Macaca fascicularis: one gene and its partners. The protein of the gene in region 1 purifies or fractionates together with the protein of each later gene. This does not show direct contact. Links are inferred from orthologs where the notes say so. Each region holds a gene or a part of one and is shown in the gene's direction. Other genes may lie near its edges. The genes, in order: MMS19, PPAT, CDKAL1, CIAO3, RTEL1, POLE and DNA polymerase delta catalytic subunit.

Evidence for each region.
Region 2: the proteins of MMS19 (region 1) and PPAT purify together in Homo sapiens (affinity purification with mass spectrometry; 3 studies listed by BioGRID and IntAct, with this or other methods). This does not show direct contact. The link is inferred for Macaca fascicularis from reciprocal best matches to the Homo sapiens genes MMS19 and PPAT.
Region 3: the proteins of MMS19 (region 1) and CDKAL1 purify together in Homo sapiens (affinity purification with mass spectrometry; 4 studies listed by BioGRID and IntAct, counting the BioPlex papers as one, with this or other methods). This does not show direct contact. The link is inferred for Macaca fascicularis from reciprocal best matches to the Homo sapiens genes MMS19 and CDKAL1.
Region 4: the proteins of MMS19 (region 1) and CIAO3 purify together in Homo sapiens (affinity purification with mass spectrometry; 3 studies listed by BioGRID and IntAct, with this or other methods). This does not show direct contact. The link is inferred for Macaca fascicularis from reciprocal best matches to the Homo sapiens genes MMS19 and CIAO3.
Region 5: the proteins of MMS19 (region 1) and RTEL1 purify together in Homo sapiens (affinity purification with western blotting; 4 studies listed by BioGRID and IntAct, with this or other methods). This does not show direct contact. The link is inferred for Macaca fascicularis from reciprocal best matches to the Homo sapiens genes MMS19 and RTEL1.
Region 6: the proteins of MMS19 (region 1) and POLE purify together in Homo sapiens (affinity purification with western blotting; 3 studies listed by BioGRID and IntAct, with this or other methods). This does not show direct contact. The link is inferred for Macaca fascicularis from reciprocal best matches to the Homo sapiens genes MMS19 and POLE.
Region 7: the proteins of MMS19 (region 1) and DNA polymerase delta catalytic subunit purify together in Homo sapiens (affinity purification with western blotting; 3 studies listed by BioGRID and IntAct, with this or other methods). This does not show direct contact. The link is inferred for Macaca fascicularis from reciprocal best matches to the Homo sapiens genes MMS19 and POLD1.

Annotation. Positions count from the first base shown.
Region 1 is NC_088383.1:106,423,520-106,427,771, reverse strand, and holds part of MMS19 (MMS19 nucleotide excision repair protein homolog), read left to right. Parts: intron 1-2,446; coding exon 2,447-2,533; intron 2,534-3,090; coding exon 3,091-3,165; intron 3,166-3,561; coding exon 3,562-3,639; intron 3,640-4,178; coding exon 4,179-4,252. UniProt on the Homo sapiens protein: Key component of the cytosolic iron-sulfur protein assembly (CIA) complex, a multiprotein complex that mediates the incorporation of iron-sulfur cluster into apoproteins specifically involved in DNA metabolism and genomic integrity.
Region 2 is NC_088379.1:77,459,888-77,464,139, forward strand, and holds part of PPAT (amidophosphoribosyltransferase), read left to right. Parts: intron 1-746; coding exon 747-813; intron 814-1,767; coding exon 1,768-1,974; intron 1,975-4,252. UniProt on the Homo sapiens protein: Catalyzes the formation of phosphoribosylamine from phosphoribosylpyrophosphate (PRPP) and glutamine.
Region 3 is NC_088378.1:152,419,137-152,423,969, reverse strand, and holds the start of CDKAL1 (threonylcarbamoyladenosine tRNA methylthiotransferase), read left to right. Parts: upstream 1-1,535; 5' UTR 1,536-1,655; intron 1,656-2,422; 5' UTR 2,423-2,466; intron 2,467-4,833. UniProt on the Homo sapiens protein: Catalyzes the methylthiolation of N6-threonylcarbamoyladenosine (t(6)A), leading to the formation of 2-methylthio-N6-threonylcarbamoyladenosine (ms(2)t(6)A) at position 37 in tRNAs that read codons beginning with adenine.
Region 4 is NC_088394.1:1,490,116-1,494,367, reverse strand, and holds part of CIAO3 (cytosolic iron-sulfur assembly component 3), read left to right. Parts: intron 1-284; coding exon 285-428; intron 429-1,134; exon of another isoform or gene 1,135-1,220; coding exon 1,221-1,353; intron 1,354-2,706; coding exon 2,707-2,841; intron 2,842-3,228; coding exon 3,229-3,347; intron 3,348-4,128; coding exon 4,129-4,252.
Region 5 is NC_088384.1:119,795,906-119,800,157, forward strand, and holds part of RTEL1 (regulator of telomere elongation helicase 1), read left to right. Parts: intron 1-1,663; coding exon 1,664-1,761; intron 1,762-2,474; coding exon 2,475-2,530; intron 2,531-4,252. UniProt on the Homo sapiens protein: A probable ATP-dependent DNA helicase implicated in telomere-length regulation, DNA repair and the maintenance of genomic stability. Acts as an anti-recombinase to counteract toxic recombination and limit crossover during meiosis.
Region 6 is NC_088385.1:139,788,234-139,792,485, reverse strand, and holds part of POLE (DNA polymerase epsilon catalytic subunit A), read left to right. Parts: intron 1-774; coding exon 775-916; intron 917-1,050; coding exon 1,051-1,131; intron 1,132-2,151; coding exon 2,152-2,259; intron 2,260-2,600; coding exon 2,601-2,711; intron 2,712-2,980; coding exon 2,981-3,066; intron 3,067-3,282; coding exon 3,283-3,402; intron 3,403-4,252. UniProt on the Homo sapiens protein: Catalytic component of the DNA polymerase epsilon complex. Participates in chromosomal DNA replication.
Region 7 is NC_088393.1:58,335,059-58,338,743, forward strand, and holds the end of DNA polymerase delta catalytic subunit, read left to right. Parts: intron 1-1,641; coding exon 1,642-1,940; 3' UTR 1,941-2,595; downstream 2,596-3,685. UniProt on the Homo sapiens protein: As the catalytic component of the trimeric (Pol-delta3 complex) and tetrameric DNA polymerase delta complexes (Pol-delta4 complex), plays a crucial role in high fidelity genome replication, including in lagging strand synthesis, and repair.

The DNA of each region.
Region 1 (4,252 bases):
TGCCCAAGCCGGAGTGCAGTAGCACAATCCTTGCTCACTGCAACCCCTGCCTCCTGGGTTTAGGTCATTCTTGTGCCTCAACCACCTGAATAGCTGGGATTACAGTACGTGCCACCATGCCCGACTAATTTTTTTTTTATATATTTTTAGTAGAGATGGGGTTTTGCCATGTTGTCCAGGTTGGTCTCGAACTCCTCACCTCAACTGATCTACCTGCCTCAGCCTCCCAGAGTGCCGGAATTATATGCGTGAGCCACCACGCCGAGCCACAACTCAGTATCGATCGTGTGCCATCATAGTGGATCTGATCAGTTTAGGGTTCAGTTTCTTCACTATGCTTATATGCTCACTCTAAGAAGAGGCTGGCAAACTTTTTCTTTTTTCTTTTTCTTTTTTTTTTTTTTTTTGAGGCAGGCTGGAGTGTAGTGGCACCATCACGGCTCACTGCAGCCTCCACCTCCCTGGACTCTGGTACTCTGGTGATCCTCCCACCCCTGCCTCCTGAGTAGCTGGAACTATAGGCACACGACACTACTCCTGACTAATTGTCGTATTTTTCTATAGAGACAGGATTTTGCCTTGTTGCCCAGGCTGGTCTTGAATTCCTGGGCTTCCACCTGCCTTGACTTCCCAAAGTGTTGGGATTACAGGCATAAGCCACCATGCCTGGCCAACGTTTTCTATAAAAGGCCAGACAGTAGCTTTGTGGGTCATATGGTCTCCTCAACTCTGCTGTTACTGCACAAAAACAGCCTTAGAGACAAGAACAGCTACAGTAGCTATATCCCAATAAAACTTTTATTATCAACACTAAACTTTGAATTTCATACAATTTTCACTTGTCACAAGATATTCTTTTGGTTTGTTTCAAACATTAAAAATGTTAAAACCATTCTTAGCCAAACAATGTCAACAGGTTGATTTTTACTCCTAATGCAGAGTAGATATTGGATCTTCCTTCACCGTCATCCTAGATTCCCTTATCATTTTTCTTGGATCAGATCTCCTATTTCCTGAGTTCACATATTCCTCATTTTGTGGTTTACCCCCTCAGTTTGGTGGTGTACTTCCTTTAGTATTTTCCTGTGAGAATGTAGGAAGAAGTGAGGATTTTTTAGATTTGTAAGCCTAAAATGTCTTCAATCTTTTCTCTCATTTTTGACATTATGGGTATGTAATTCAGGAATAGAAATTCTAGGCCAGGTGCAGTGGCTCACACCTGTAATCCAAGCACTTTAGGAGGCTGAGGTGGGAGGATCACTTGAGGTCAGGAGTTCGAGACCAGCCTGACCAACATGGTGAAATCCCGTCTCTACTAGAAATACAAAAATTAGCCAGGCGCGGTGGCAGGCGCCTGTAATCCCAGATACTTGGGAGGCTGAGGCAGGAGAATTGCTTGAACCTGGGAGGTGGAGGTTGCAGTGAGCCAAGATTGAGCCACTGCAGTCCAGCATGGGTGACGGAGTAAGACTCCATCTCAAAAAAAAAAAATAAATAAATAAATCCCTTCTTTTACTGTGTTTTTGGTGGAGTTTGCGAAGAGGAAAAGGAAAACCTGATTTATGTTTTCAATCTGTCGTCTTGGTACAGAAACCATCAAGGCTGTCTGTTTTCAGAATTACAGCTTTTTATAAGGGTGAAAAAAATGGAAATGTCCATCAACAAGGAATTATTTAGATAAACTGGTACAACCACAAAATGAAATCATAGCCACTAAAACTAATGCTATGAAAGAATAATACCATAAAAATGTTCTTAATATGTTAAGTGAAAAAAATTAAAAACTGCATGTACAAAATTATCTTTAAGTATACAGAAACAGTATATACTAGCACATAGTAACAATATATATCAGAGAAGAAAGCAATACACGAGAAAGTTAAGCATGCTTATCTCTTAGTGGTGAAATGATAGAAAAATGTGTAATCAGATCTTTAAAAATGCCTAAAGATAAAAGTTCCCAGGCCGGGCGTGGTGGCTCAAGCCTGTAATCCCAGCACTTTGGGAGGTCGAGACAGGCGGATCACGAGGTCAGGAGATCGAGACCATCCTGGCTAACACGGTGAAACCCCATCTCTACTAAAAAATACAAAAAAAAATTAGCCGGGCGAGGTGGCGGGCGCCTGTAGTCCCAGCTACTTGGGAGGCTGAGGCAGGAGAATGGCGTGAACCCGGGAGGCGGAGCTTGCAGTGAGCCGAGATCCAGCCACTGCACTCCAGCCTGGGCGACAGAGCGAGACTCCGTCTCAAAAAAAAAAAAAAAAAAAAAGTTCCCAAGGAATACATAAAAGGTCAAGCATGTCTTCTTGCTGAGGCATCATTATCTTACTGTCTTCCCTGATTGGGTATGAGTATCACCCTGTTCTACAGGGTTACCAGGTTCAAGCCTGGGTTCAAGGGTGGTCTGAAATGTTACACAAACCCACAGCCCTTCTCCCTTTTCCAGCCACCTAATGACCCCCATGGTATCCAGAGAGAAGACCTCATCCTGAGTCTTCGCGCTGTGCTGGCTTCTACACCACGATTCGCTGAGGTGGGTCTAGCCAAATTAAGGTGTATAGCCTCTGCCCATAGAAGGTTCTGAAGAAAGAGCAGTAAAAGCATGGAGAAAAAAAGATCTGGTATACATTTTAGGGCATGACACCCTACAAGTGTCTTATGTGGCAGGTATCTTCAAACCTTCAATATAGAAAACTTTAGCATCTCTTCATAATCCAGAGCTGGATTCAGTGGCGCACACCTATAGTCCCAGCTACTCAGGAGAGTCTGAGTGGAAAGGATCACTTAAACCCAGGAGTTCAAGTCCAGCCTGGGCAACATAGGGAGACCCCGTCCCCTCTTACACAAAATAAATAAATAAATAAATAAACCCAATCCTTATATGGTGCTGTCTTTTAAAATCCTGTAACTTTGTCAGCTTGCCTGTTTTTGAGGTAGTGGGGCTCTGGCCACTGCTTGGCAGGAAGTTAGCTCACATTCATAGCTCCTGACTTCAGTATAGCTCCTTGATAAGTAGTACCTGCTTCTGAGGACTTGATGTGACTGACATACTACCCATCTCAGGCTTAAGATCTTGCTTCTGTCCCACAGTTTCTGCTGCCCCTGTTGATTGAGAAAGTGGATTCTGAGGTTCTGAGTGCCAAGTTGGATTCTCTACAGACTCTGGTGAGTGATTTTTCTCCTTGCAGGACCCAGCTACCTTTTGACAAGTTAGGGGTACTAAAGGATATAGATTCTTGGATAGCCAAGAAACAGTTCATGGGCCTCAGAAGAGGACACCCAGGATTTGGGCCTCTGTGTCGACCTGAAGCCCCCAGCTGCATATTGTCGTGTCCCATCCCATAGTAACTGAGGAAAGGCTGACCAGCACTCCCTCTTAGGCTTCTATTTTATCAACCAGGGTAATCTCCTATTTTTCTGTTCCCTGAGTAGGACTGTTAAAAATCTTCACTGGTTTTTCTGCTGAGACCAAGGCTCCTCCAGGTGTCCTTATGCTGAGGTACCTGCACATCCTAGGTGTCTGAGTGTGCACATAACTGATAGCAGCGGTTTCCTTGGCAGAATGCTTGCTGTGCTGTGTATGGACAGAAGGAGCTGAAGGACTTCCTCCCCAGCCTTTGGGCTTCTATCCGCAGAGAGGTGAGTGTTACTCAGATAAATTCACTACTATTAACTCTCAATTGTCAGGCATGAGGGGAAATAATACATCCTGTCCTTTTCCCTCTGTCATCCCCAGGGCCAAGGTATTATGCCTGGTTATTCAGGAGGCAAGCAGGGGGACATAATTCTAGTTGAATGACGAGAGAGAGTCCCTATGTGACAGTCAGCTGCTTGGTAAGAGCAGTTGATCACCTTTGCACATTACCCACTTCTTGTCCTTCTGTGGCAAGGAGTGCAGGTTATGGTGCCTCTGGCACCGTGGTGAATAGAAAGGTGAGCAGAGCCACTGCTCAGAGTTGGCTTTCTGTTTCTCAGAAAGTGTGTGTCTCTGTCCTGAGTGTGACTAAGGACTTGGTAAGAACACACCAGTTGAGAAGACACTCAGTTGACGTGTTAATTTCCATTTCTGTGTCCTAGAGGTTCTCACTCTCCTCTCCAACAAGGAAATAGGCAGTGGATTGGTGGGGTCTCATCTGGTGCAGGCTCACCTCAGTAGCCATGGGATCCCTCCTTGACAGGTGTTCCAGACAGCAAGTGAGCGGGTGGAGGCAGAGGGCCTGGCGGCCCTCCACTCCCTGACTGCGTGTTTGTC
Region 2 (4,252 bases), on another chromosome or scaffold:
TCTGCCTAGAAGTTAATCTTTAACAAAGGTCATCACTTGAGAAGGCAGGATGTTATCACCTCTGTTGTCTTTTTTTTTTCTTCTTCTTCTTCTTGGTTCACTGCAACCTCCGCCTCCCAGATTCAAGCGTTTCTCCTGCCTCAGCCTCCTCAGTAGCTGGGACTACAAGCGTGTGCCACCAGGGCCAGCTAATTTTTGTATTTTTAGTCGAGACAGGGTTTCACCATGTTGGCCAGGATGGTCTCCAACTCTTGACCTCGTGATCTGCCCGTGTCGGCCTCCCAAAGTGCTGGGGTTACAGGCGTGAGCCACGGCGCCCGGCCGTCTCTGATGTCTTTTAATTCTCTCTAGTCATTGTATAGAACAAGAAAAATAAGAAAGTGAGTTAATCTATAGTCTGAGAAACAGAAGTTGTAACCATATGTGACTTGGATCACAGTCATATCTCTCTCAAGGCCTAAAGTATATTTGGGGTTCCAGTAGGTTTTAAATTATTTATTCTTACAGCATAAAATGCTTAGGACATGTTAGTTAGAATTAGATATCTAGTTGTTACATTGTCATCTGCTGTGATTGCTAATCATCAGCATCAGCATCATCAATAGGAGTAGTACTAGTACAAGTAGCATTTAATGTGTTGTCACACTAAGTTCATGGGTGCTTGTCGAGAAAGTATGCTTGATAAAGTTCTTCAAGAAGCTCATCAATTGGCAGATTTAACAGCTAATATCTTTTTATATTCACAGGGGTCAGGAGAGTGCCGGTATTGTGACTAGTGACGGGAGTTCAGTGCCAACATTCAAATCACACAAGGTAAATTTGAACTTTAAGAAATCTTGATGACAGGCTGGGTATGGTGCTTCATGCCTGTAATCCCAGGACTTTGGGAGGCCAAGGCAGGAGGATCACCTGAGGTCGGGAGTTCGAGACCAGCCTGACCAACATGGAGAAACCCTGTCTCTACTCAAAATACAAAATTAGCCAGGTGTGGTGGCGCATGCCTGTAATCCCAGCTACTTGGGAGGCTGAGGTAGGAGAATTATTTGAACCTGGGAGGCGGAGATTGCGGTGAGCCAATGTCACACCATTGCACTCCAGCCTGGGCAACAAGACTAAAACTACGTCTCAAAAAATAAAATAAATAAATAAATAAGTGAAAGAAATGGGATGACAAAGATAACAAAAGACAGGTGATCATTAATATGGGGGGGTTGAATAAATAATTTGCAGTCAAAAGTGATATTCTTTGGATCAGCCACTTTCAACTTTATATCCTAACATTTATCAAATTAGGATGTATTTCTTCCCCAGTGACAATTTTTTGCCTAAGACCAACTCAAATAGGGAGTCATTTATTTAAATGCTTTAAGATGCTTTGATTTGTTTAATGCAAATCTTAGTTTTTATGCTTGACAAATTGTATTGCTTAGTACATCTGTTCTTAAATGTTTTAGTGAATAGTATCTTATGAAACACAAGTGCTTCAACATTGTGAAGGTATTAAATGCCACTAAATTTTTCTCTGTAGAATGGTTAATTTTATGTTATGTGACTTTTGCCTCAATAAATTTTTTTAAGTAAGTGCTTCACAGTTCTTACAGTTAGGTTATTTGTTTTTGGCCTTTTTTTAAGATTAGAATTCTGAAACACAGAGAAATTAAATGCACTTCTTTGTCTTATTTGGATTGGCTGAGCAGAAAAGAGAGGTGTTTATTACTAGCAGTACTAGTCTGTTTTTTTCTAAGTTGCACTTTTTGATTTCTCAAGGGAATGGGTCTTGTAAATCACGTCTTTACTGAAGACAATTTGAAAAAATTGTATGTTTCAAATCTTGGAATTGGACACACAAGATATGCCACTACAGGAAAATGTGAATTAGAAAATTGTCAGCCCTTTGTTGTTGAAACACTTCATGGGAAGATAGCTGTGGCACATAATGGTGAATTGGTAAATGCTGCTCGATTAAGGAAAAAGGTACATTTGTTTGTTTGTTTTCCCTAAGCCTTTTAAAATGATTAGCATGGGTTAATGAATAAAAGTTAAGGATCTTTGTAAAAGGCATTTTCTAATTGTTGCTACCTGTTACCTAACTGCAACAACAATTGCATCAGAATGATCTGGAGTACTTGTTACAATTCCAGATTGTAAGATGTCCCCTAGAGTTGGAGACAAGGGTGAGAATATGCATTTTAGACTCACTTTTTGAATGCACTGCTCTAGAGATTTGGGAGAGTTGATTTATGGTTGGAAGCATAGAGAAATTAGAGTTTATGGACTTGCTATCTCTTTAACTCTGTTGCTATGTACAAAGCTCGTATGAAATAAGAAAAACCAAGCGTTTTTCCTATTCTCAGACTCAGCACACTTCTGTGGCCAAATAGGGGGGTTTCTTGTACCAGCCAATTTTCCAGAGGATACGAAATGGGTATCCTATAATTCAGTTGTATTCTGATAGTACCTGGAGGTAAAGTCAGGTTCCAGAAGTTAAGGGCTCAATCCCACAAGATTGTCCCCCACTTCAGATGCTAGTTGCAAGTCCAGGCCTCTGGTACATCTGACAACCAGTTATAAATTGGGAGTTCCTGCAACAGCCCTGGCACTGCCTTTGGTTTCAAACATCACAAAACTCAAGAAAGTACTTTGTATACATTTACCAGTTTATTATGAAGGATGTTACAAAGGCTACAGAAGAGCGGTCTGGTGAAAAGATGGAAAGGGCAGGGTATGTGGGAACGAGCATGGAGCTTCCATGCCCTTTCCAGGGGCACCACCTTCCAGGCATCTCCAACTGTTCAGCTATCCAGAAGTTCTCTGAACCTAGTCATTGTGAATTTCTATAGAGGCTTCATGAAGTAGGCATGAATGATTAAATCATCAGCCACTGGTGATCAGCTTAACCTTTAGCCTTTCTCCCCGAAGCTGGAAGCTCCAACCCTCTGGTTGATTCCCCTGGCAACCAGCCCTCATACTGATGCTATGTAGGAACCCCTAGCTACTGGTCATCTCAACAGCATACAAAAGGACACTTATCATTTTGGCAATTCTAAGGGTTTTAGGAGCTGTGTACCAGGAAAGACCAGGATAAAAATCAACATATATATTTCTTCTTATATGTCACAAAATCATAAAAATAAAATGGAGTATAAACTTGGAGATGACATAAAAAAATGAATTGGAAACAATGACAGAAAACTAGAGTATGGGAAAAGGGAGAGAGTGTTTAAACTCTTGGTTCACAGCATGTTGTTTGGAGCTTTCTGTGCTAATGATGTCAAATTTGTGCCTATGCTTTCATTCATCATTTTATCTTTTTTTTTTTTTAAACTGCCTGTCTTTATATTCATTCCTAGTAGCTTCCTTTTATCCATTCAGGCATTCATTCATTAATGTTGGGTTTCTTCAGTTTATTAGCTCCCAATCATCTTGACTTGGTAACCTCAGAACCTGGTGATATTTAGTAATAGATTGTTACCCACATGCTCCATCATCCTATAAGCATTCTAGAGCTGGGCAATTCACATATGATGAACAGTTACAGAAGCTGAATAATAATGAATTGCCGGGTCAAAAATATCTAGAAACTAGGCTTTTGTACCATTCATTGTCATTCTATTTTCAGTTCTGTCTTTAGACATTTCCTAGAGCTTTGTCCAGCCCTGTTTGTAGGCATTATAATGACCTTATTGTGCTTTTCTGTCCCCAAATGAAAAAATGTATAGTTCATTTAAAAATTCAGACAATCATGAACGTATAAATATGGAGTAAAAATTTCTTAAAAATTCACCACTTAGAGATAACCACTAACTCACCGTTTCCTGACATTACCCCTTACCCAGATGCTAAACTTCATCTCTACTTTTAGCTCCCTACTGAAAATGTTCTGTAGTGCCCATTCAGACTCAATCTGTGCATGTCCATGGGGCTGCCCTTGTCCTGGTCAGTCTTGCTCAGAACTTTGTAATTATCATAGAGTACACTCAAGCGATATTTATTGCATCTGCTACATTTCGTTGTTCAATACAGTTGATTCCTTTCTTCTATCAGTAATAATTAGTGAGGATGGGTAGCCACCATTATGATCACTAACAAACCCAGCTTGAAAGTTAACACTGTAGTGTACTACTTTTATAGGAATATACCCAGTTCATCAAGAGTGTTGAGGGTAGAAAAGGTCAGACCCACTAACCAAATTTTCAAGATCCCCTACCCACTTTCAGGTCTGCATGCCTTCAAATTTAGTATTCAAAAGCTT
Region 3 (4,833 bases), on another chromosome or scaffold:
TTAAATGGGTTTGGTGGTGTGCCCGTGTAGTCCTACAGCTACTTGGGAGGCTAAGGCATGAGAATCTCTTGAGGCTAGGAGGCGGAGGTTGCAGTGAGCTGTCATTGTAACACTGCACTCCAGCCTGGGTGACAGAAGAAGACCGTATCTAAAAAAAAAAAAAAAAAAAAAAAAGTAGGGCAACATAAATACACAATTTTAATTCAGATGGGTAAAGACAATAGTGGATCCCAGGGCACTGTTTAGATTATGTTATGGATATGAATAAACAGAGAAAAGGGTGGCTTTTTTTCTTAAAAATATATTTTAGAGACAGGGTCTCACTGTGTTGCCCAGGCTGTTTTCAAACTTCTGAGCTCAAGTGATCCTCCCACATCAGCCTCTTGAGTAGATGGATGGCATTTTAATGAGATGAAATTGTACTAGCAGAAGCATTTGCAAAACAAAGTAATTGCCCCAAATCACTGTGAAACCCTAAGTCAGGCATTAAACTCACGATTTCTGACCCTTGTTCACGAACTACTGCCTCCTATTGCCTTTACTTTTTTAAGTAAAGATATTCTTCTGGTAAACGCATGGTCAAATACAGTGTCTTGGGTAATGAATACTAAAGTGAGATAACATATGTGGAGCAAGCGGGTGAGAATTCGTATTCCATGAAAGTATTTTCTTTTTTTTTTTTTTGAGACGGAGTCTTGCTCTGTCGCCCAGGCTGGAGTGCAGTGGCCGGATCTCAGCTAACCGCAAGCTCCGCCTCCCGGGTTTACGCCATTCTCCTGCTTCAGCCTCCCAAGTAGCTGGGACTACAGGCGCCCGCCACCTCGTCCGGCTAGTTTTTTTTTGTATTTTTTAGTAGAGACGGGGTTTCACCGTGTTAGCCAGGATGGTCTCGATCTCCTGACATCGTGATCCGCCAGTCTCGGCCTCCCAAAGTGCTGGGATTACAGGCTTGAGCCACCGCGCCCGGCCGAAAGTATTTTCTTTCCATAGGTGTCTGCTAAACTACCATCTAAGTTTTCCAAAACAAAAAACAAAAAAACTTGCGTGGTGGTAAATAATGTATATTAAGCGAAACCTACCAACTGACCTTTATCCTTTCCTTCCTGTTTTTTAATATTAAAGAAGAGACCTCTTCACAAACGATTGAGGAGGCTAGTAAAATGCAGTGAAAAGAGCAAGTTCTTTGGGAGTCAGACAGCATCGGATCCAGCCCACGGGGCAGCACGACTAGTAGAGTAACTTAGATTAAGTCCTTAAACTTCCAGTGTCCGCTTTTGTAAAATGGGAATAATAACAATAAATAAATAGTGAAATAATGTTTATGCAAAGTACTTAGCACAGTGTCTAACACATAAGAGCTTAGGAGAAGTTGGCTATTAAGCGTATCTAGGAACCCGAGGACTTGGGGTTGTTATTTTAGTTCTTGGAATCAAAGGAACTTGAAGCGTAATCATTCCTAAACTAAGTTAAACCAGAACCAGCCCTTTCAGCAATGATGTAATTTGATCTCTTCGGGCCACCGTCGCTGAGCATGCGTAAATAAACGTGGCGGGACGTATGTGTCATGGCGCTCTCCATCTAAAGTCTGTGCAGTTTCCGGAGAGTGGCGGGTTGATTCTCTCACTTTGGACTGGTTTTTACTTCCCGACTTCTGGGTAAGGGTGGCGGTTGGGTCCATGTGGGGCAGAGTGTGGCGACGGCTCCTTTTATGGCAAGCCTTGTTTCTCCAGTTTCAGTCTTTCTTGGGCTGTTTGCAAAATTGTTTCGCAGTTAAAAGGGGGATTTGCCAGCTGGGATGGGGGAATTGGGAGGCAGATGGGGCTTCCAGGAGCGAGGGTAGGGTCGTTGGCCTCAGGTGCCGCTCTCCAGTTAGTAATATTTTGGGCACCTCGTTCCTTATTGTCAAATTTAACTTCATTTGTTCTCCCACTTTATACCTTAGTGAATTTGTAGATGTGACAGGGCTTTCGCAGTTACATAGCTTTCCCAGATCAGTATCTTAAGAATTTAAGCAGAAGTTATTGAGAAAAGCAGATGTCTTGCTTTTTCACTTTTCGTTCTTCTTTGCTCATAAAACCTTTTTCTGAATCTCGGGACGACAGTTATCTTTCGAATGGAACGTGATCTGGATGTCTGCCTATTTACTGACTTATTCCTGTTTTGTAGTGGTTGGTTACTCGCACTATGCAGACGTGTTGTAGTGCTGAATACAACATTACTACAGACACTGGATCACAGTCACGGCAGATGTCAGCACACCTGTTGTAATCAGTAAGAAGTTACAAGTAGTATGGAGCATCATTAATCCTGCTGTATAAAGCAGTCTTTTTTGGAGTCTGATTCCTTTTAAGTAAAGAATCCTTACAGTGGTTTTGTGAACTTCTTTGGTGCTTGCTTTTCCTAATCAATTTTTATTTTCCAGACTCATCTTTCAAGAGGACTTTAGACTAATTGCAGATAATTAAGGTACTGATTTATTTTAAACCTTTTATGTTTGAGTGCTGTACATATTTCTGCATATTAGAAAATGCAGAGAGGTAGCTTAATTTCTTAGCTATTTGCCACTATCGTGTTATGGAACCATTGTCCTTTACATACCACTAAATTGAAGAGATATTTTCATTTATTTTACTTAACCTTTCGTTTTCATTCACCAGCATTGACCATGTCCACTTTTTTGACATGCCCTCTTCCTTTGCCTTCCATGGCCCATGGATTTTTTTCCTTCTCTGGTGGCTGCTTCTTGGAATCCATTATAAGCTGATTTTCCTTTATATGAGAGTTAAATTTGGAGTCTCTCAAGTCGTGGTCTTGTACCTTCTCCTACCTCTGTTCTCTTTTTCTTTCCCTCTGGGTGATGTAATCCACATGCCTGTCAACAATTATTTGTCTTTTTGATTCTACCTATCCTAATGGGTATGAAATGGTATATTATTGTGGTTTGGATTTCCATTTCCCTGATGGCTCATTATGTTGACATCTTTTCACGTGCTTATCAGCCATTTGTATGTGTGTGTTTTTGAGACAGGGCTTCCCTGTGTCACCCAGGCCAGAGTGCAATGGCTCGATTACAACTCACTGCAGCCTTGACCACCTGGTCTCAAGTGATCCCACTTCAGCCTCCCAAGTAGCTGGGACTATAGGTGCATGCCACCATGCCCGGCTAATTTTTACTGTTTTTTTTTTTTTTTTTTTTTTTTTTTGTAGAGATAGGGTCTGTGTTGCCTAGGCTCTGGCCCTGTACTCCTGGTCTGAAGTGATCCTCCCACCTTGACTTCCCAGTGTTGGGATTATAGGCATGAGCCACTGCACCTGGCCCATTTCTATATCTTCTTCATCTAATCTGTTTTTCCTTTTGTTGCTTGTGCTTTTGGTTTCTTAGCTAAGAAAGGAGGGCCTACTCTAACATCATAAAGATTTGTACTTATGTTTTTTTCTAAAAGTTTCATAATGTTAGCTCCTAAATTTAGGTATTTGATCCATTTTCAGTTAATTTTTTGTATATGATGTGAAATAGAGCTCCAACTTTATTTTTTACATGTTGCTATCCAGTTGTCCCAGCATCATTTGTTGAAAAAAACCTATTCTTTCTCTGTTGAATTGTCTTGGCATCTTTGTTGAAAATCAGTTGACTAGGTTATGTATATTTGACATGCATTCTAGGTGGTTTTTATGAAAGAATAATTCTGGGACAGTGATTGTCAAACTTTAATTCAGATCAGAATCACCTAGAGGGCCTGTTAAATATTGCTAGGTTTTACTCAAAACATCTGATTCAGTATGTCTGGAGTGGGGTTCAAGAATTTTCATTTCTGGCTGGGCATGGTGGCTCATACCTGTAATCCCATACTTTGGGAGACCAAGATGGGAGGAGTTTGAGAGCAGCCTGGACAACAAAGTGAGACCTTGTTTTTACAAAAAAATTGAGAAAGAAAGAAAAAATGTTCATTTCTGACAAGTTCCCCATGATGCTACTCCAGCTGATGTGGAAATTACACTTTGAAAACTACTGGACAGGCCGGGCGCGGTGGCTCAAGCCTGTAATCCCAGCACTTTGGGAGGCCGAGATGGGCGGATCACGATGTCAGGAGATCGAGACCATCCTGGCTAACACGGTGAAACCCCGTCTCTACTAAAAAATACAAAAAACTAGCCGGGCGCGGTGGCGGGCGCCTGTAGTCCCAGCTACTTGGGAGGCTGAGGCAGGAGAATGGCGTGAACCCGGGAGGCGGAGCTTGCGGTTAGCTGAGATCCGGCCACTGCACTCCAGCCTGGGCGGCAGAGCGAGACTCCGTCTCAAAAAAAAAAAAAAAAAAAAAACTACTGGACATTGCTTTGCAACTGTGGCTGTACACATGAGAATGACTGGAAAGTTTTAAAAAGATATTGAGGCCCAGGCTCCATTCTCAGAGATTCATTCCGCTATCTTGGGGCTTAGTTGGGAATTTTCTTTTTCTTTTTTTTTTTTTTTGAGACAGAGTCTTGCTCTTTTGCCCAGGCTGGAGTGCAGTGGCGTGATCTCGGCTCACTGCAAGCTTAGTTGGGAATTTTCAAAAGCTCTTCAGGTGAATAGAATGAGTGTTCAAGATTGAGAACCATTACTGTAGAATAGTGGTTCTTAATTAGGAATCTATAGTGGAATTATCTGGACAGTTTCTAGGTTCACGTGCTTCACTACTCTTGGAGATTCTAATTCAGAATGGAACCTGGAGATTTGCTACGATAAAAAACTTCCCGCCGGGCGCAGTGGCTCACGCCTGTAATCCCAGCACTTTGGAAGTCGGGCGGATCACCTGAGGTCGGGAGTTCAAGACCAGCCTGACCAACATGGTG
Region 4 (4,252 bases), on another chromosome or scaffold:
GGTGGCAGCTGCTTTGCTGAGAAACCAGTGGCAAGCCTTATTCCTGTGATTCTGATGCACTAACCAAGTCGTACCAAAAAGTAGACTTTGATGGCATTATGAAACTCTAGAACGTGTGTGTGCATTTTTGTAATACATGTCTAATTTTTAAAAATTAAGCAGCACACAAGCCCAGCCAGCAGCCATGTTGGTTGTTGGTTATGAGCTGGACTCCACTATCCTCTGGCTCCATGTCCTCATGCAGAGGGGGCTCGCGGTGCGCACCGAGTTCTTCTCCCTTGTAGGACGGCGGGACCCGGAGGCTGGAGAAGGCCAAGGTCTCCCTAAACGACTGCCTGGCGTGCAGCGGCTGCATCACCTCTGCAGAGACCGTGCTTATCACCCAGCAGAGCCACGAAGAGCTGAAGAAGGTTCTAGATGCTAACAAAGTAAGTGGTGGGCGGCCAGAGGACTCTGCTTTAACCTGAAATCCACCCCAGCAGCCGAGGCATTTTGCCAAGGGCAGCTTGTGTGGTGCCGCCTGCAGGTGGCACCTGCCTTTCTGAGGCTTGGGATCTTGGTGATTTACCTGTCAGTTGGTGCCAGTGGTGAACGTGTCAGGCCCGGAACTTCAGGTTCTAAATATACATCAAAATGACACCCTTGCCGGGCGCAGTGGCTTGCACCTGTAATCCCAGCACTTTGGGAGGCTGAGGCGGGTGGATCACCTGAGGTCAGGAGTTCAACACCACCCTGGCCAACATGGCAAAACCCCGTCTCTACTAAAAATACAAGAATTAGCCAGGTACGGTGGTGCACACCTGTAATCCCAGCTACTCGGGAGGCTGAGGCCGGAGAATCACTGACAGAAGTTGCAGTGAGCCAAGATCATGCCATTGCACTCCAGCCTGGGTGACAGAGCGAGACTCCATCAAAAAAAAAATGATATCCTTGGCCAGGCACAGTGGTTCACACCTGTAATCCCACCTACCCAGGAGGCTAAGGCAGGAGAATCCCTTGAACCTGGGAGGCAGAGGTTGCCGTGAGCTCTGATCGCAGCACTGCACTCCAGCCTGGGCAACAGAGCAAGACTCTGTGTGGGGAAAAAAAAAAAAAAAAGACACTCTTGATAGAGCTGGCATGCCCTCTCCACAGCCGACGGCATCTCACCGGGCAGCTCTGGGCACCAGGAATCAGCATAAGGCCGGCAGAGTAAGCAGCGTCTTCCCCTTGCTTTGCAGATGGCGGCGCCCAGTCAGCAGAGGCTGGTTGTAGTCTCAGTCTCGCCACAGTCTAGAGCATCGCTGGCTGCACGGTTTCAGCTGAATCCTACAGACACTGCCAGGAAATTAACCTCATTCTTTAAAAAAATAGGTAGGCTTTGAACCTGGGGTAACACTGCCACTCCACACCAAGGGGGCGTCTGAGTGAGCCCAGGCTCCTCGTGCCTCTGAGTCACTGACATGCCACCCAGCCCTGAACTTCAGTGCTACAGAAACTTTATTCCCTCTGTGACCTCAGCCTGAAGTTTTGATTTGACATTTGAGAGCAGCGCCTTCTCACAGAAATCGTCTGCATTCTGACTGTGCACTTTCTGTGAGTTGGGGCTGACCAACTCCTTGTACTTTTTAGCTGATGATATTAAGGCACTCTCTCCGGGGCTCCGCTGGGTTCAGCTAAGGCCAGCTTCGGCGGACTTCGGTTGTGTGCCTGGAGCTGGGCTTGGGTGTCTTGAGAGGCCCCAGCTAACCAGCTCCTGTGCCCGGTGGCTCACTGGGAATGAAGGGGCTGGACCTCATGGCTACTGTGTGCCTTTCATGGGTAACCGCCACGTCCAGTCCCTTCGTTCCCAGTGAGGCAGGACTGTGTGCTTTGTACCCGGCAGACTGCCTGTCATCCAACTGTGTCCCGGGTCCCTCACATTGGAAACCTGTTGACACTGGCAGGTGCCCCGTGGCTCTTGTCTGACCCACACCCACGTCCAGTTGGTGTCTGAGCAGTGCTCTGGCACTGGGAGCCTGACCTGGTGTCTCAGGGGAAACCTGGCCTGGGGCAGCCCGTAGTTCTCCAGGTGGAAGGTGTGGGTTTCGTCCCCACCGGAATAGGAAGCAAGTTCAAAGATTTTTACTTACAGATCACGGGCAGGTGGGGCACAGTGAGTCCGAAGGCCGTCTTCCGACCATGGGTTACATGAGGCAGGAATGACAGGTCAGGCAGAGACAGAGGGACCCACGTGCTGGTGCCTCTGCTGGGGTCCAGGGCACGATCAGGCAGGTTTACCAAGCAGTTCTAATTGCTGGGCTTGGAGCCGGCGGGCCTGTCCCAGGAGTCCTGCCGTGTGTGAGGGGCGGCCACTGTGGCAGGTCTGCACACTCAGGGTCCGAGGGGCCAGTCCAGCAGGCCACGTCCAGCTGTGCCCTAGGGAGGGTCACCGGGAGCAGTGCACGTGGCAGTTCCCTGGACCAGCCTCGCTAAGGAGCTGGGAGGGTGGAGGACTGAGCTGCCGAGCGGCTGCCCTGCCTCTGGGGTGGGAAAGCAAGCCCTGCATTCGCAGGGGATGCCGAGGCAACGCGGCTTAAGGAGGTCCCCACGGTGGGGCCGGGGCTTTGGCACGGGAAGCGGGTGCCACACACGTCCCCCAGCAGCACCACGGTGGTCCACACACAGGCGTGTACTCGCGTGGGCGTCCCGCGCGGGGCTAGCCAGGCACCCACCTTCACCTTCCAGGGGTGCACTTTGTCTTCGACACCGCCTTCTCAAGGCACTTCAGCCTCCTGGAGAGCCAGCGAGAGTTTGTGCGGCGATTCCGAGGACAGGCCGACTGCAGACAGGCCCTGCCCCTGCTGGCCTCCGCCTGCCCAGGTGTGCTCATGGTGCGGGTGGTGTGAGAGTCAAGTTCGAGTTAAGTTAAAATGTGACATGGTATGGACACGGATGACAAGGCGGGGGATAGGGGGTGGAGACGCAAGCCGGTTTCGCAGGACGGGTTAGAAATGTTGGCACAAATGGCCTTTTGTGGAGAAGGGGCTGCCCTCCCTTGGGAGCCACCCACAGTCACCTCAGGTCCCTAGGCGGTGTTGCGTGCACGCCGAGCTCCACGTGGTGGTGGGAAGAACAGGAACGAGCACTCTTTAATGTCATCATGATCTCCCGTATGAGCGGACCCGCCTCCAGAATGTCGTGCTGCTGCCTGTGGGTGCGGGGGCCGCCGTGCGCCCCCGCCAGCCCCGTGTGCCCCTGTCGCCTCAGGCTGGATCTGCTATGCCGAGAAGACGCACGGCAGCTTCATCCTCCCCCACATCAGCACCGCCCGGTCCCCGCAGCAGGTCATGGGCTCCCTGGTCAAGGACTTCTTCGCCCAGCAGCAGGTAACGGCGTTGGGCCGCCCCAGGCTCAGGCTGGGGAGCGGCCAGACGTGATTATTCTGGCTGTTTGCCGCGAAGCCGCAGGAAACAGTCCTCGCCCTGGTGTGTGGCCTTCCCGAGCACACCTCCACCCTTGTTCCCTCCTAGTTCAGGCCACTCCTCTCCTGCTGGGCAGCACAGGGCCACGTTCTGATCCACAGCTGCTCACTGCTCACGCAGCGACAGCCAGGCCTGGGGCTGAGGGAGCAGGAGGCCCTCGGGCAGCCCCGGCCACCAGATCCACAGGGTGCCCAGCACGACCCCCACCTGAGGCCCCGCGGGACTGAAGCCTGACGACACTCAGCCAGTGGGGGGCGGGAGAGGGTGAGGGTGGCCCTGGTGGTGCCTGGGCCCGGAGTGCCCATGTCCCCTACAGCACCTCCCGCCCGAAAACACGGATTTTCACCTGGGGCTGGGGCTGGTTGGTTCCCCTGTGACATCCGTTTCCCCGGCTGGTGTGCAGCGAGAGGGCCTGAGCTGTGGGAAGGCCACTTCTCCTCCTTTGGACTTGGCTGTTAGGGAGTGCAAGCACGCTGGGAACGGGTCAGTGTCGTTTTCTGTCGCAGCCAGGGCCTGTCCTGTCCAGGGGCACATCCACAGAGCCAGCAGGAGGCTTCCTGGGAAAGGGAGTGAGGCTCACTGTCCCTCGGGGTCCGGCCTGGCTGCAGGATGGCTGAGTTCCAGGTCACGCCTCGGCCACCGTACTGCTGGGATTGGGGAGACGTGTGTTTGTTTTCCCTCGTAGCGCTTGACTCCTGACAAGATCTACCACGTCACGGTGATGCCCTGCTATGACAAAAAGCTGGAAGCCTCTAGACCCGACTTTTTCAACCAGGAACACCAGACACGGGACGTGGACTGTGTCCTCA
Region 5 (4,252 bases), on another chromosome or scaffold:
ACAACACACACCCCCACGGAACAACACACACCCCCACGGAACAGCACACACACCCACGGAACAACACACACTCCCACGGAACAACACACACCCCCACGGAACAGCACACACACCCCCACGGAACAGCACACACTCCCACGGAACAGCACACACACCCACGGAACAGCACACCCACGCCCACGGAACAGCACACACACGCCCACGGAACAGCACACACGCCCATGGAACAGCACACACATCCACAGAACAGCACACACATCCACGGAACAGCACGTGCTTCCACGGAACAGCACCCACGGAACAGCACCCACGCCCCCATGGAACAGCACCCACGGAACACACACCCCCACGGAACAACACACACCCCCACGGAACAGCACACACACCCACGGAACAACACACACTCCCACGAAACAACATACACCCCCACGGAACAGCACACACACCCTCACGGAACAGCACACACTCCCACGGAACAGCACACACACCCACGGAACAGCACACACACACCCACGGAACAGCACACACACGCCCACGGAACAGCACACACTCCCACGGAACAGCGCACACGCCCACGGAACAGCACACACATCCACGGAACAGCACATGCTTCCACGGAACAGCACCCACGGAACAGCACCCACGCCCCCATGGAACAGCACCCATGGAACAGCACCCACGCCCCCATGGAACAGCACCCACGGAACAACACACACCCCCACGGAACAACACACACCCCCACGGAACAGCACACACACCCACAGAACAACACACACTCCCACGGAACAACACACACCCCCACGGAACAGCACACACACCCCCACGGAACAGCACACACACCCACGGAACAGCACACACACACCCACGGAACAGCACACACACCCACGGAACAGCACACACTCCCATGCGGGGCCGCTGGGTTTCCTGCAGTTTGTCCTCCTCCAGGCCTTTCCCTGGACCTCCTCAGGTGCCTGTTAGAATGAGACCTTCTTGTTAGGACGATGAGTGTCCCAGCCACCACCTCTTTTGGACTCCGGGAGGCCCGGAACATTCTGAAGGCTCCGTGGGTCTCCTGTCTTCTCCGTGGCCAGGGCAGCAGCATTTGTTGTCTGTCCTGCAGGCAGATGAGGGTCAGGCCTGGGGCCCGTGTGGGGCTCCACTGAGTGCACAGCCGCCAAGGCGAGCGCGTTCTGCCTGAGCGCCGACCTTGTGGCGACTCCCAGTTGCTTCCAGGTGGAGCCAGTGTCCTCAGCGTAATGCTCAAGGCTCTGGCGTGGCTCCTCGGCCACCTGCACCCCCAGGGGCCCCTCCTGTAGCTTCTGCTGCCGCCATCACTGTCACTCTCCCAAGGCTTTGGGGACTCTGCCCAGAGCCGCTGCCTCCCAGAAGCCCCTGACGACCCCCCGGCGACCCCATCCCTCCCTCTGATGACAGCCTCTGCCCTGAGGCGGCTTTTCCTTGGTGCTGTTCTTGTGCCGGCCAGGCCTCCTCTTCCCATCTGGAGGCTCCTGAGGGCGGAGGCCTCTCACCCCCAATGCCGGCGTCCCCTGGAGGGCTCAGTTTGTTTCGGAGGGAAGGAAGCTTCCACAGTTGCTGCCTTCAATTCCCAAAGCTGCAGCCTGATCCCCTGTCCAGGCTCGAGCCTGCCTTCTTCTCCTCGCAGCTACATCTTTGAGCTGTTTGCTGAAGCCCGGATCACGTTTCAGACCAAGGGCTGCATCCTGGACTCGCTGGACCAGATCATCCAGCACCTGGCCGGACGTGAGTGCCAGGGCGGGGTCCTTGGTGTGGGCAGACGTGGCGTAGGGGGTGCAGCAGGCCTCCATCCTGGCAGTCAGGGCTCGCCTGGCCATCACCTGGCCGTCAGCAGGAACAGGCTCACAGAACCTCACCTGATCGGGGCGTGGAGGCGTTAGTGCCGGTTGCCCACTGCCGTAGAGCCTGTCCCAGTTCTGCAGCTGGCGGCTTCGTCCTGCAGACTCATCCCATTATTCCCCTTTTAAGGAAGAGCAGCCCAAGGCCCTGGCTGGGTTGTGGGGCCTCAGGCTTCTCCACACACCCTGAGTTCTGCTTCTCAGAGCTGTGGGGTCCAGAGGCTTTGCCCAGAGGCAGTGTCGTCATGGGCTGCTCTGGTTTGAGATGCCGGCCCGCTGGGGCCTCTGCTGTGCTCCCAGGTGCTGGGGAGGGCGGCTCTTGCTGCTTCAAACCTTAGGTGACCATAGAGCCTCTTTTCAAGTTCCACCGGCCCCCTTGGAGACGCTGTCCCTGCATGGCTTCTCTCCTGGCTGCTGGGAAGGGCAGGCGAGCTGCCCGCCCTGAGTGGACACTGCGCTCCACCCTGGGCCCTCCGTTGGGCAGGAGATGGAGCTTGGCAGTCGGGCTGAGCTGGCTTATGGCTGGAAGGGCGGGGGCTGGGGTCGGGGCCTCCCCTGCCTGCAGTGCGGGTGTCAGCGCCCGGCATGCTACCTCCCCAGGTGCTGGAGTGTTCACCAACACGGCCGGACTGCAGAAGCTGGCGGACATCATCCAGGTGGGGCCTGCTCCTCCGGCGTCTCCTTCCCTGATGGAAGCTGGGCGGGTGCCTTCTCCTGCTGTATTAGTTACTGACTCTAGATGTGGGGGTGGGAGAACGGCCCCCACACCACCTGTTTCCGATAGGCAAACGCTTGGCTCCTTTCCTGTGACCCAAACCCACACTGGGCCTCCCGCGGGGATGGGGGAGGACGAGGTCTGGTGGCACGTGCCCAGGGTGATGCTGGTGGGGGAGGACGTGAAGGGGAGTGGGGGCCAGGGAGCCGCTCCTGCCTTGTCCGGGCCCTCAGGCCAGGGGGGACCCACTCCTGGCAGCCCCAGCTGCACGCAGATGAAGAGCTCTGGACACACGTAGCTTCCTGAACAGCTTCTCCAGGGACAGACAAACGGGGACCCTGCAGGTTGCCGGCGGGGGTGTCCCTGCGAGCCCATGATGGGGGATGCGGCCCTGGCCCCCTTCTTGGCCCCGTCCTGCCCTGCGATGCCCGTCCCCTCCCATGTGAGGTTGCTCCTGGCTCTGTGCCTGTGGCAGCACCTGCTTTCCCTGAGGCAGAGGGGCTTGTGCGGTTTGTGGAGGGCAAGCCCCATTTTTGGGTGCTCTGGGCACACACTTGCCTCTCCTGGACCTCGGTGCATTTTTTAGAAGCAGACCCACAAGTCCCTGACTGGGAGGCCATCAGTCCTTGGGGAAACCGAGGCACAGGTGGCTGTGTGGAGCCGTGTGAGGCTGCCTCTGTGCTGCCCACACTGAACCTCCTGGCCACACGAGGTCATGGCAGGGTTAGGTGGGGCTGCCCAGCTCTGTGACAACTTCGTGAGTGTCCGCCTGGGGTGGGGGGTGCTTGAGCTGGGGGAGGCCGCAGAAGAACCCTGGAATGTACGGCCGGCCTGTGCATGCAGTGCGGTGCTCTGTGCATGCTACTGGGCGTGGAGCTGCAGGCCCCAGGACGACCAGGCACTGCCTTCTTCATAGACGTGGCTCTGAGCGGGGGCGAGACCTGGGCAGGGACCAGGTGGGGTGGGCACAGCAGGTGGTAGGGCCCAGGCTCAGCCCTACCTCCACTGTGGCCTTCTCTGCGGCCAGTGATGCCACAGCCAGTGTCTTCTCTGTGTGGCAGCTGGGGCTGGAAAGACGGCACTGCTATGTCTCCCAGCTCCTCCCCAAAAGCACGGTGGGCATCCCAGGGCCAGACCCCTCTCTCTGTGGCTCCTGCCTGCCAAGGGCTGCTTTGCCGTCCCACCTGGAGCGTGGTTGGCTCTTCAAGCAGGAGGCCGTGCACCTGCCAGGCGGACCTGCTTCCATGTCCTGATGGGTCACTCAAAGCACCTCCAGCACATGGCCATCGAGGCAGCCCTGCAGCCCAGGGCCTGGAGGGCAGGTGTGAGCTGGCCCGGGCCTGCCCCTCCCTGGAATGTGGCTTCCCAGGCTCCAGTATGGAGAAGTGTCCACACTCTGGAACCAAATCCTGTTCACCCCATTGGTTTGGAATTTCCTTTGGCTGCTGCTCTAAGTAGCCACTGGGAGATGACTCAGCTCCTCCCAACCCTGGGGACTGCACACCGTGTTCACCCTCGGCTGCTCCTGAGTCCCTGCAGGTGTGGGCACTGCTCATAGGGCTGCTGCTGGGCTGGACTTGCAGCCCTGAGGCACAGGTGACCCTGGGGACAGAGTGGGGCTAGAGTGGGGCTAGTGGCCCCAGGAAGAGGATGTGGGATGCAC
Region 6 (4,252 bases), on another chromosome or scaffold:
GCAATCCTTTCACCTCAGCCTCCTGAGTAACTGGGATCACAGGTGTGTACCCCATGACTGGCTAATTATTATTATTATTTTTTTTTTTGTAGAGATGAGTCTCCCTATGTTGCCCAGGCCTGTCTTGAACTCCTGGGCCTAAGTGTACCTGCTGCCTCCCAGAGTGCTGGGATTAGGGGCATAAGCCACCATGCTTGGCCCTCTTTTTTTTTTTTTTTAGTTGGGGTGTAACTCACATCACATAAAATGCATACATCTTACCCTGAATTTTTTTCCTGTCTGTAGGGTTATCATCCAAGCAATTCTTTATTTTTTTGAGACGGAGTCTAGCTCTGTTGCCCAGGCTGGAGTGCAATGGCGCAATCTCGGCTCACTGCAACCTTCACCTCCCAGGTTCAAGTGATTCTCCTACCTCAGCCTCCGAAGTATCTGGGATTACAGGCGTGCACCACCACGCCTGGCTAATTTTTGTATTTTTAGTAGAGACGGGGTTTCACCGTGTTGACCACGCTGGTCTCAAACTCCTGACCTCTGGTGATCCGCCCTCCTTGGCCTCCCAAAGTGCTGGGATTATAGGCGTGAGCTGCCATGCCCGGCCCAATCCAAGCCATTCTTAAAGGAAGGACTGCCCTGGTCATTGAAACCACCTCAGTTTACCTTTTGTGTTTCCTCAGTTTGGACTCTGGTCTCATCTCTTGCTACTGATTTGGAACTCTGGTCCCACCTCCTCCAGACCCTGGCAGCTGAGTTAGTTGCTCTCTTGTTAATTCCTAGTGTTCTGCAGAGGGGTGGTGTCATTACTGATGAAGAGGAAACCTCTAAGAAGATAGCTGATCAGCTGGACAACATTGTGGACATGCGCGAGTACGATGTTCCCTACCACATCCGCCTCTCCATTGACCTGAAGATCCATGTGGTGAGTAGGGCAGGGTTGGGTTGCTGCTCACATGAATTTCCTAACAGCCAGGAGATGATCATTATGGGTGAATCCACACAGGAGTAGACTTTCCCGGATGTAGAACTCCAGTTAACACACTGTGTGTTTTGCAGGCTCATTGGTACAATGTCAGATACCGTGGAAACGCTTTTCCTGTGGAAATCACCCGCCGAGATGACCTTGTTGAACGACCTGTAAGTTTTGTTGCTTGTATTACCTTCATCGTAAAATTTCTGGTTTTCTGGAGAGAATATTCTTTAGTGCTGAAGAGTAAATTTGACTCAAAGATATGTTTCCTGCTTTCCCCCCAAATACTTTATTAAAGGAAATATGGAGTTAGTTTTTCATCAGTTTCTGACAGTATCATGTCCTTTTTTGTTGTATATCACTGCATGACATCAGTATTTGAGCTAGGCAGGATTTGGACATTTGAGGGAAAGCTAGGACTTCCATTGGGTAGTTGATAGTGAAGAGACATGGTGAAAAATGGATTTGTAACTAGAAGGCCTTGGTTCAAATATGACTTTGTGGTGTTGGGAAAGTCTGTATTCAGTTTTCTCTTTTCCGAAACGAAGATATCATCTCTGTGCCACATTTACCTTTCAGGGTTGTCATAACCATCAGAATGAGGTGATGTCTTCTAAAGAGTTTTTCTTTTTTTTTGTTTTTTTTCTTTTGTTTTTTGAGACGGAGTCTCACTCTGTCGCCCAGGCTGGAGTGCAGTGGCGCGATCTCGGCTCACTGCAAGCTCCGCCTCCTGGGTTCACACCATTCTCCTGCCTCAGCCTCCTGAGTAGCTGGGACTACAGGCGCCCGCCACCGCGCCCGGCTAATTTTTTGTATTTTTAGTAGAGACGGGGTTTCACCGTGGTCTCGATCTCCTGACCTTGTGATCCGCCCGCCTCGGCCTCCCAAAGTGCTGGGATTACAGGCGTGAGCCACCGCGCCCGGCCTTCTAAAGAGTTTTTCTACTAAAGTTCTGTGATTTTAGGCTTGTCCTGTGATCAGCTGCTCTCTTAGGTGTGTAAGTTTCCACACCATAGAGAGTCGTGATGCTCTTGACGTAGGTTGGTCAGTCTTAGGGTCCCTCTCCCAGCTCTGGAGCCTTTTCACTCTTAACAACCAGAGGGAGGTAGAGCAGGCCGGGGGCCGGTGTTCAGGGAGGCCTGATGGGGAGTTTAGAGCTTGGCTTTATGCTTATTTTGTCCCCACAGGACCCTGTGGTTTTGGCGTTTGACATTGAGACGACCAAACTGCCCCTCAAGTTTCCTGATGCTGAGACAGACCAGATTATGATGATTTCCTACATGATCGACGGCCAGGTGAGCAGGCGGCTTCTGGGAAGAAAGCTCCTGGGATGGGGACCTTGTCTGGTCCCCATACTACAGCAGCGTCTGCCCCACAGTTAGGATGTGTTGAGTGAATAATAAGTTAGTCCAGGAATGGGAGCAGCCAGGCCGTTCCGACTTCCAACTGTACCCTCTCCTTTCCAGTGGGAATCCAGACATGGAGGATCTCTTCTCAGGAAGCTTAGGGCACTTTCACGTTGCTGTGGACTTCTTTGTAGTGAGAATCTCTAGGCAGAGTGTGTGGGCAGGGTGGGGACACCAGGTCTTGGCTTTGCAGCCTCTGACTTGTGCTAATTGCTAATGAACTTCACTAGGGCTACCTCATCACCAACAGGGAGATTGTTTCAGAAGATATTGAAGATTTTGAGTTCACCCCCAAGCCAGAATATGAAGGGCCGTTTTGTGTCTTCAATGAACCCGATGAGGTAAGGAGGTATCACTTGTGAAACTGCCTGGTATTGTGGGAAGAAGGGGCATGCGGATCTTTCCAAGGCCTCGGCATTCCGTCGGATCAGAATTGCAGCTCCATCAGCTTCGTTCTTAGGGTATGACCCTCTTTTCTGCCAGAAACTGGGGCTGGGGTCAGGAATAAGGGCCAGCATGAGGCTGCTGCTTCTGAACTTTGGGGGAGGAATTTGGAAATAGCTTGAAGAAGAGAAAGAGCAGACCTCTGACTGCTGTGACTTGGGTTTAGGCTCATCTGATCCAAAGGTGGTTTGAACACGTCCAGGAGACCAAACCCACCATCATGGTCACCTACAACGGGGACTTTTTTGACTGGTGAGTCTGTGTCTTCTCTGTGAGTAACTGGGCAGCGTTTGAGAGGGAGGGCATTGCATGGTGCGGGGCGCTTCCCATGTTGACTGAGGAGGTGGCTTCTGGGTTCACTCTGCACCTCCCGTGTCTCGGTTCCTCCCTGGATCTGAGGGAGGAATGGAGAAAGGGGAATTAGAGCCTGATCTTCCCACTTGCTTGTCTGTCCTCTTTCGAACCCAGGCCATTTGTGGAGGCCCGGGCAGCAGTCCACGGTCTGAGCATGCAGCAGGAGATAGGCTTCCAGAAGGACAGCCAGGGGGAGTACAAGGCGCCCCAGTGCATCCACATGGACTGCCTCAGGTAGGGGCTGCACAGCAGCACGGCTCATCACTGCTGTCTGCGAGCGAGATCTGAAGGCCTCTTGCAGACTGTACTGTCACCACATCTCATGGGAGGAGGGTGGCCTCTGAGAGGTGTTTCAGGTCACCCAAGAGGATGGCAGCTACAACCCTGCCGGGGCCCAGGATGTGCTGTCTTTGACTGTTGGCTGACAGTTCGTCAGTGATCAGGCACATTGAGCATCAGCCTCTGGGGTGGGGTAGCCACCGGGAAGACACACTCAACACACAGGTCCCAGAGCTAGGACCTCATGGAGCTGCACTGCCCAGGCCAGATTGGGATGTGGCAGCCCAGCTGCCTCACAGGACGAGCCTCACAGGACAAGCGCAGATTCCAGATGAGCTGGGGTGGGAGGCAGCTCAAAGCTGCTGAGAATCACGGCGTTCGGGGGCTCTGACATGTCTGGTTGGGAGGACAGGTGGATGTGGAAATGCCAAGAGAAGAAGGCTGGAAGGGAAGGAAGGGGAGGAAGGGAAGGAAGGAAGGGAAGGTAGGGAAGAAAGGGAAAGGAGGGAAGGAAGGGAAAGGAGGGAAGGAAAGGAAAGGAGGGCCCCCGTGACCTCTGTACTCTGCACAGTGCCATTGGAGCGCTTGAAGCCTGAATGTGTTTGTTTAGCTCTGACGTTCAGCAGTTGGCTTGGAGAGGGAGGCCAGGAGGCTGGGGCTGGTTTAGCATGTGACAGTCCTGATCCAAGGCAGGGAGTGAGGGGCGTGAGGATTCAGGGTCTATCATGTGGGGCAGGGGCAGGGGGAGGCCCAGGGATGCTGGTTCTCAGGGAGGGGGTGACACCTGGGGTTTTTGTGCCATCCA
Region 7 (3,685 bases), on another chromosome or scaffold:
AGAGAGGGATCAGTGGACTGATGCCTTTATTGGGTCCAAGGTGTCAACCAAACAGGTTTCCTGAGGGGGGTTTTAATTGGTGGGTTCAGGCCAGGCACGATGGCTCATGCCTATAATCCCAGCACTTTGGGAGGCTGAGGCAGGAGAATCGCTTGAGCCCAGGAGGCAGAGGTTGCAGTGAGCTGAGATCATACCATTGCACTAGCTTACAGTAGCTTGTTGACTCAGCTACTGTAATCTTAGTAGCTGGGATTACAGGCATAAGCCACCACACCCAGCTAATTTTTGTGTTTTTAGTAGAAACGGGGTTTCATCATGTTGGCCAGGCTGGTCTCGAACTCCTGACCTCAAGTGATCCGCCCACCTCAGCCTTCCAAAGTGCTGGGATCACAGGCATGGCCCACTGCACCCAGCCTCCAACTTATATTTTAAATGAATGTCGAGGCAGCCTAAAATTATAAGAATTCAGTCAGGTGCAGTGGTTCATACCTGTAATCCCAGCATTTTCAGAGGCCGAGGTGGGAGGATCACCTGAGGCCAGGAGTTCAAGACCAGCCTGGGCAGCATAGTAAGACACCATCTCTACAGAAAATAAAACAATTAGCCAAGCCTGATGATGCATACCTGTAGTCCCAGCTACTGGGGAGGCTGGGGCAGGAGGATTGCTTAGGCCCAGGAGGTCGAGGCTGCAGTGAGCTGTGATTGCTCCTCTGTACTCCAACCTGGGTGACAGAACGAGACCCTGCCTTGAAAAAAAAAATTTAAAAAATGTCACTATGTCACCACCCCAAGGTCACACTGCTGTAAAATGGCAGAGATGGGATTCTTGTAGCCAGTGCCCTGCTCTGAAACTCCCAGTTATTGGCCGGGCGCAGAGGCTCACACCTGTAATCCCAGCATTTTGGGAGGCCGAGGTGGGCCGATCACCCGAGGCCAGGAGTTCGAGACCAGCCTGGCCAACAGAAACCCTGTCTCTACTAAAAATATAAAAATAAGCTGGGAGTAGTGGCGCATGTCTGTAGTCCCAACTACTCGGGAGGCTGAGGCAGAATTGCTTGAACCCTGGAGGCAGAGGCTGCAGTGAGCCGAGACTGAGCCATTGCACTCCAGCCTGGGCCACAGAGCAAGACTCTGTCTCAAAAACAAAGAAAAGCCTAGGAGCCCAGGAGTCAGGTGCCCTGGCCTTTCCCGGGACCCTGTCCCGGTTTGAGCTGAGAGGCTGGGAGACCAGAAGCAGGAGAGATAGCCAGGCCAATGCAACTGCCTCCAGATCTGTTTGCCTCTCCGTTATAATCCTTTGAGCAGCGCTGTCAACCCATTTCACAAACTCTTTCATCCATTAGCTCAACAAATAGGGAATATTACGTGCTGGCCACAAGGCAGAAGGCAGGACAGATGTAAATCTCGAACATTAAAGCACAGAACTCCGGAGGGGGCCTGGGGAGGACAGCTTCGGGCAGGGGGAGTGACTTGCCCCCGTGGTGAGGGGCGCAGAGCCAGGAGTATGTAACAGCCACTTCCTCACCCCACTTCTCAGATCCAGGAGATGGAGGCCGGGGCGGAAGTCTCGGAGGAGGGTGGATGGGGAAGGCGGGGCCTTAGGGACCCCTCGCCTAACGCGTGCCCCCGACCTCACCGCAGGGACCCGCAAGAAGCTGCGCCTGTACCAGTTCCTGCTGGGGCTGCTGACGCGCGGGGACATGCGTGAGTGCGTGTGGTGGGTGGAGCAGGGCGCCGGCGTCTTCCAGTTCTCCTCCAAGCACAAGGAGCTCCTGGCGCGCCGCTGGGGCCAGCAGAAGGGGAACCGCAAGCGCATGACCTACCAGAAGCTGGCGCGCGCCCTCCGAAACTACGCCAAGACCGGCGAGATCCGCAAGGTCAAGCGCAAGCTCACCTACCAGTTCGATAGCGCGCTGCTTCCTGCAGCCCGCCGGGCCTGAGCACACCCGAGGCTCCCACCTGTGGAGCTGCTGGGGGACCTCACGTTCCAGCCAGGATCCCCCTGGAAGAAAAAGGGCGTCCCCACACCCTACCTGATATGACTTATGCATCCCTACCTTTTGGGGGTAGGGGGAGTGCTGCCCTGCCATAATCCCCAAGCCCAGCCCGGGCCTGTCTGGGATTCCCCACTTGTATCTGGGGTCCTTCTGGGATTTCTTTGTCATGTACAGACTCCCCAGGATCCTCAGGTTTGGGGTGACAGGACCTATGGACCACTATACTAGGGGAGGCAGGGTAGCAGTTCTTCCAGAATCCCAAGAGCTTCTCTGGGATTTTCTTGTGATACCTGATTCCCCAGTGAGGCCTGGGACCTTTTTAAGATCCCCGTGTGTCTGTAAACCCTCAATCTCATCTGGGGTGGGGGCCCTGCTGGCAACCCTGAGCCCGGTCCAGGGGGCCCTCTTGTCGGATCTGAGATCTCCTCCTTATGTCTGGGGCCCTCTGGGAGCTGTTGTCATCTCAGATCTCTTTGCCCATCTATGGCTGTGTTGCCACATCTGTCTCCTCATCTTTGAGATCCCCCAATTCTCTGGAACCATTCTGCTGTCCCTTTTTATGTGTCTGGAGTTCCCCAATCACATCTAGGGCTCCTCCGAGATCCTTTTGTCATGTCTGAAATCACTCTTGAGAGGTCTGGGGTGCGGGGGGATGGGGAAGTCAGTGAAATGTGTCTTGTCTGGGCCCTGTCAGGGACACCCTTGTCATATCTGGGATCCTCTAATCACATCTGAGACCTCCTAGGCTGTCCATCTGATATGCCCTTTCAGGGACCCCACAAAGACTGAGTTCTCATGGGGACCCTACCCTTCCTGGTGGCCCTCCCTATGGCCATGCTGAGGACCACTCTGGCTACATGACTGATTTTTGGGTGATCATGGCAGCTCCCCACCCACGTCATTTCTAACCAGAGGTCTCAAGGTGGTCACCCCCTGCCCCCCAACCCAGGCCCCGGTCCCTGGTGATGGTCTCTTTAATTCAAAGTAGCATTTGGCGGTGGAGGTGTGAGGGATCCACATTAAAGCAGACCATCAGCTGGGAGTGGCTCACACCTGTAATCCCAGCACTTTGGAAGGTGAGGCAGGGGGATGGCTTGAACCCAGACATTCAAGACCAGCTTGGGCAACATAATGAGACCTCATCTCTACAAAACATTAAAAAAAAAAAATTAGCCGGGCATGGGGGTGCACACCTGTGGTCCCAACTGCTCAGGAGGCTGAGGTGGGAGGATCTCTTGAGCCCAGGAAGTCGAGGCTGTGGTGAGCTGTAATCGTGCCACTGCACTCCAGCCTGGGCGACAGAGTGAGACACTGTCTTAAAAACAAAAAAACAGGCCGGGCACGGTGGCTCATGCCTGTAATCCTAGTACTTTGGGAGGCTGAGGTGGGCGGTTCACGAGGTTGAGAGATTGAGACCGTGCTGGCCAACATGGTTAGTCCCAGCTACTCGGGGGGCTGAGGCAGAAGAATCACTTGAACCCAGGAGGCAGAGGTTGCAGTGAGCCTAGATTGCGCCCCTGCACTCCAGCCTGGACCACAGAGTGAGACTCCCATCTGAAAACAACAACAAAAAACAGCAGACCATTCAAAATAGGGAGACTTTGCATCACCCAGATTTCTGCCTTCACTTAAAACTTTGGACGATCTGGAGAGAGTGGGCCAGTTTTTGGAGGGGGGTGGGGAGCTGG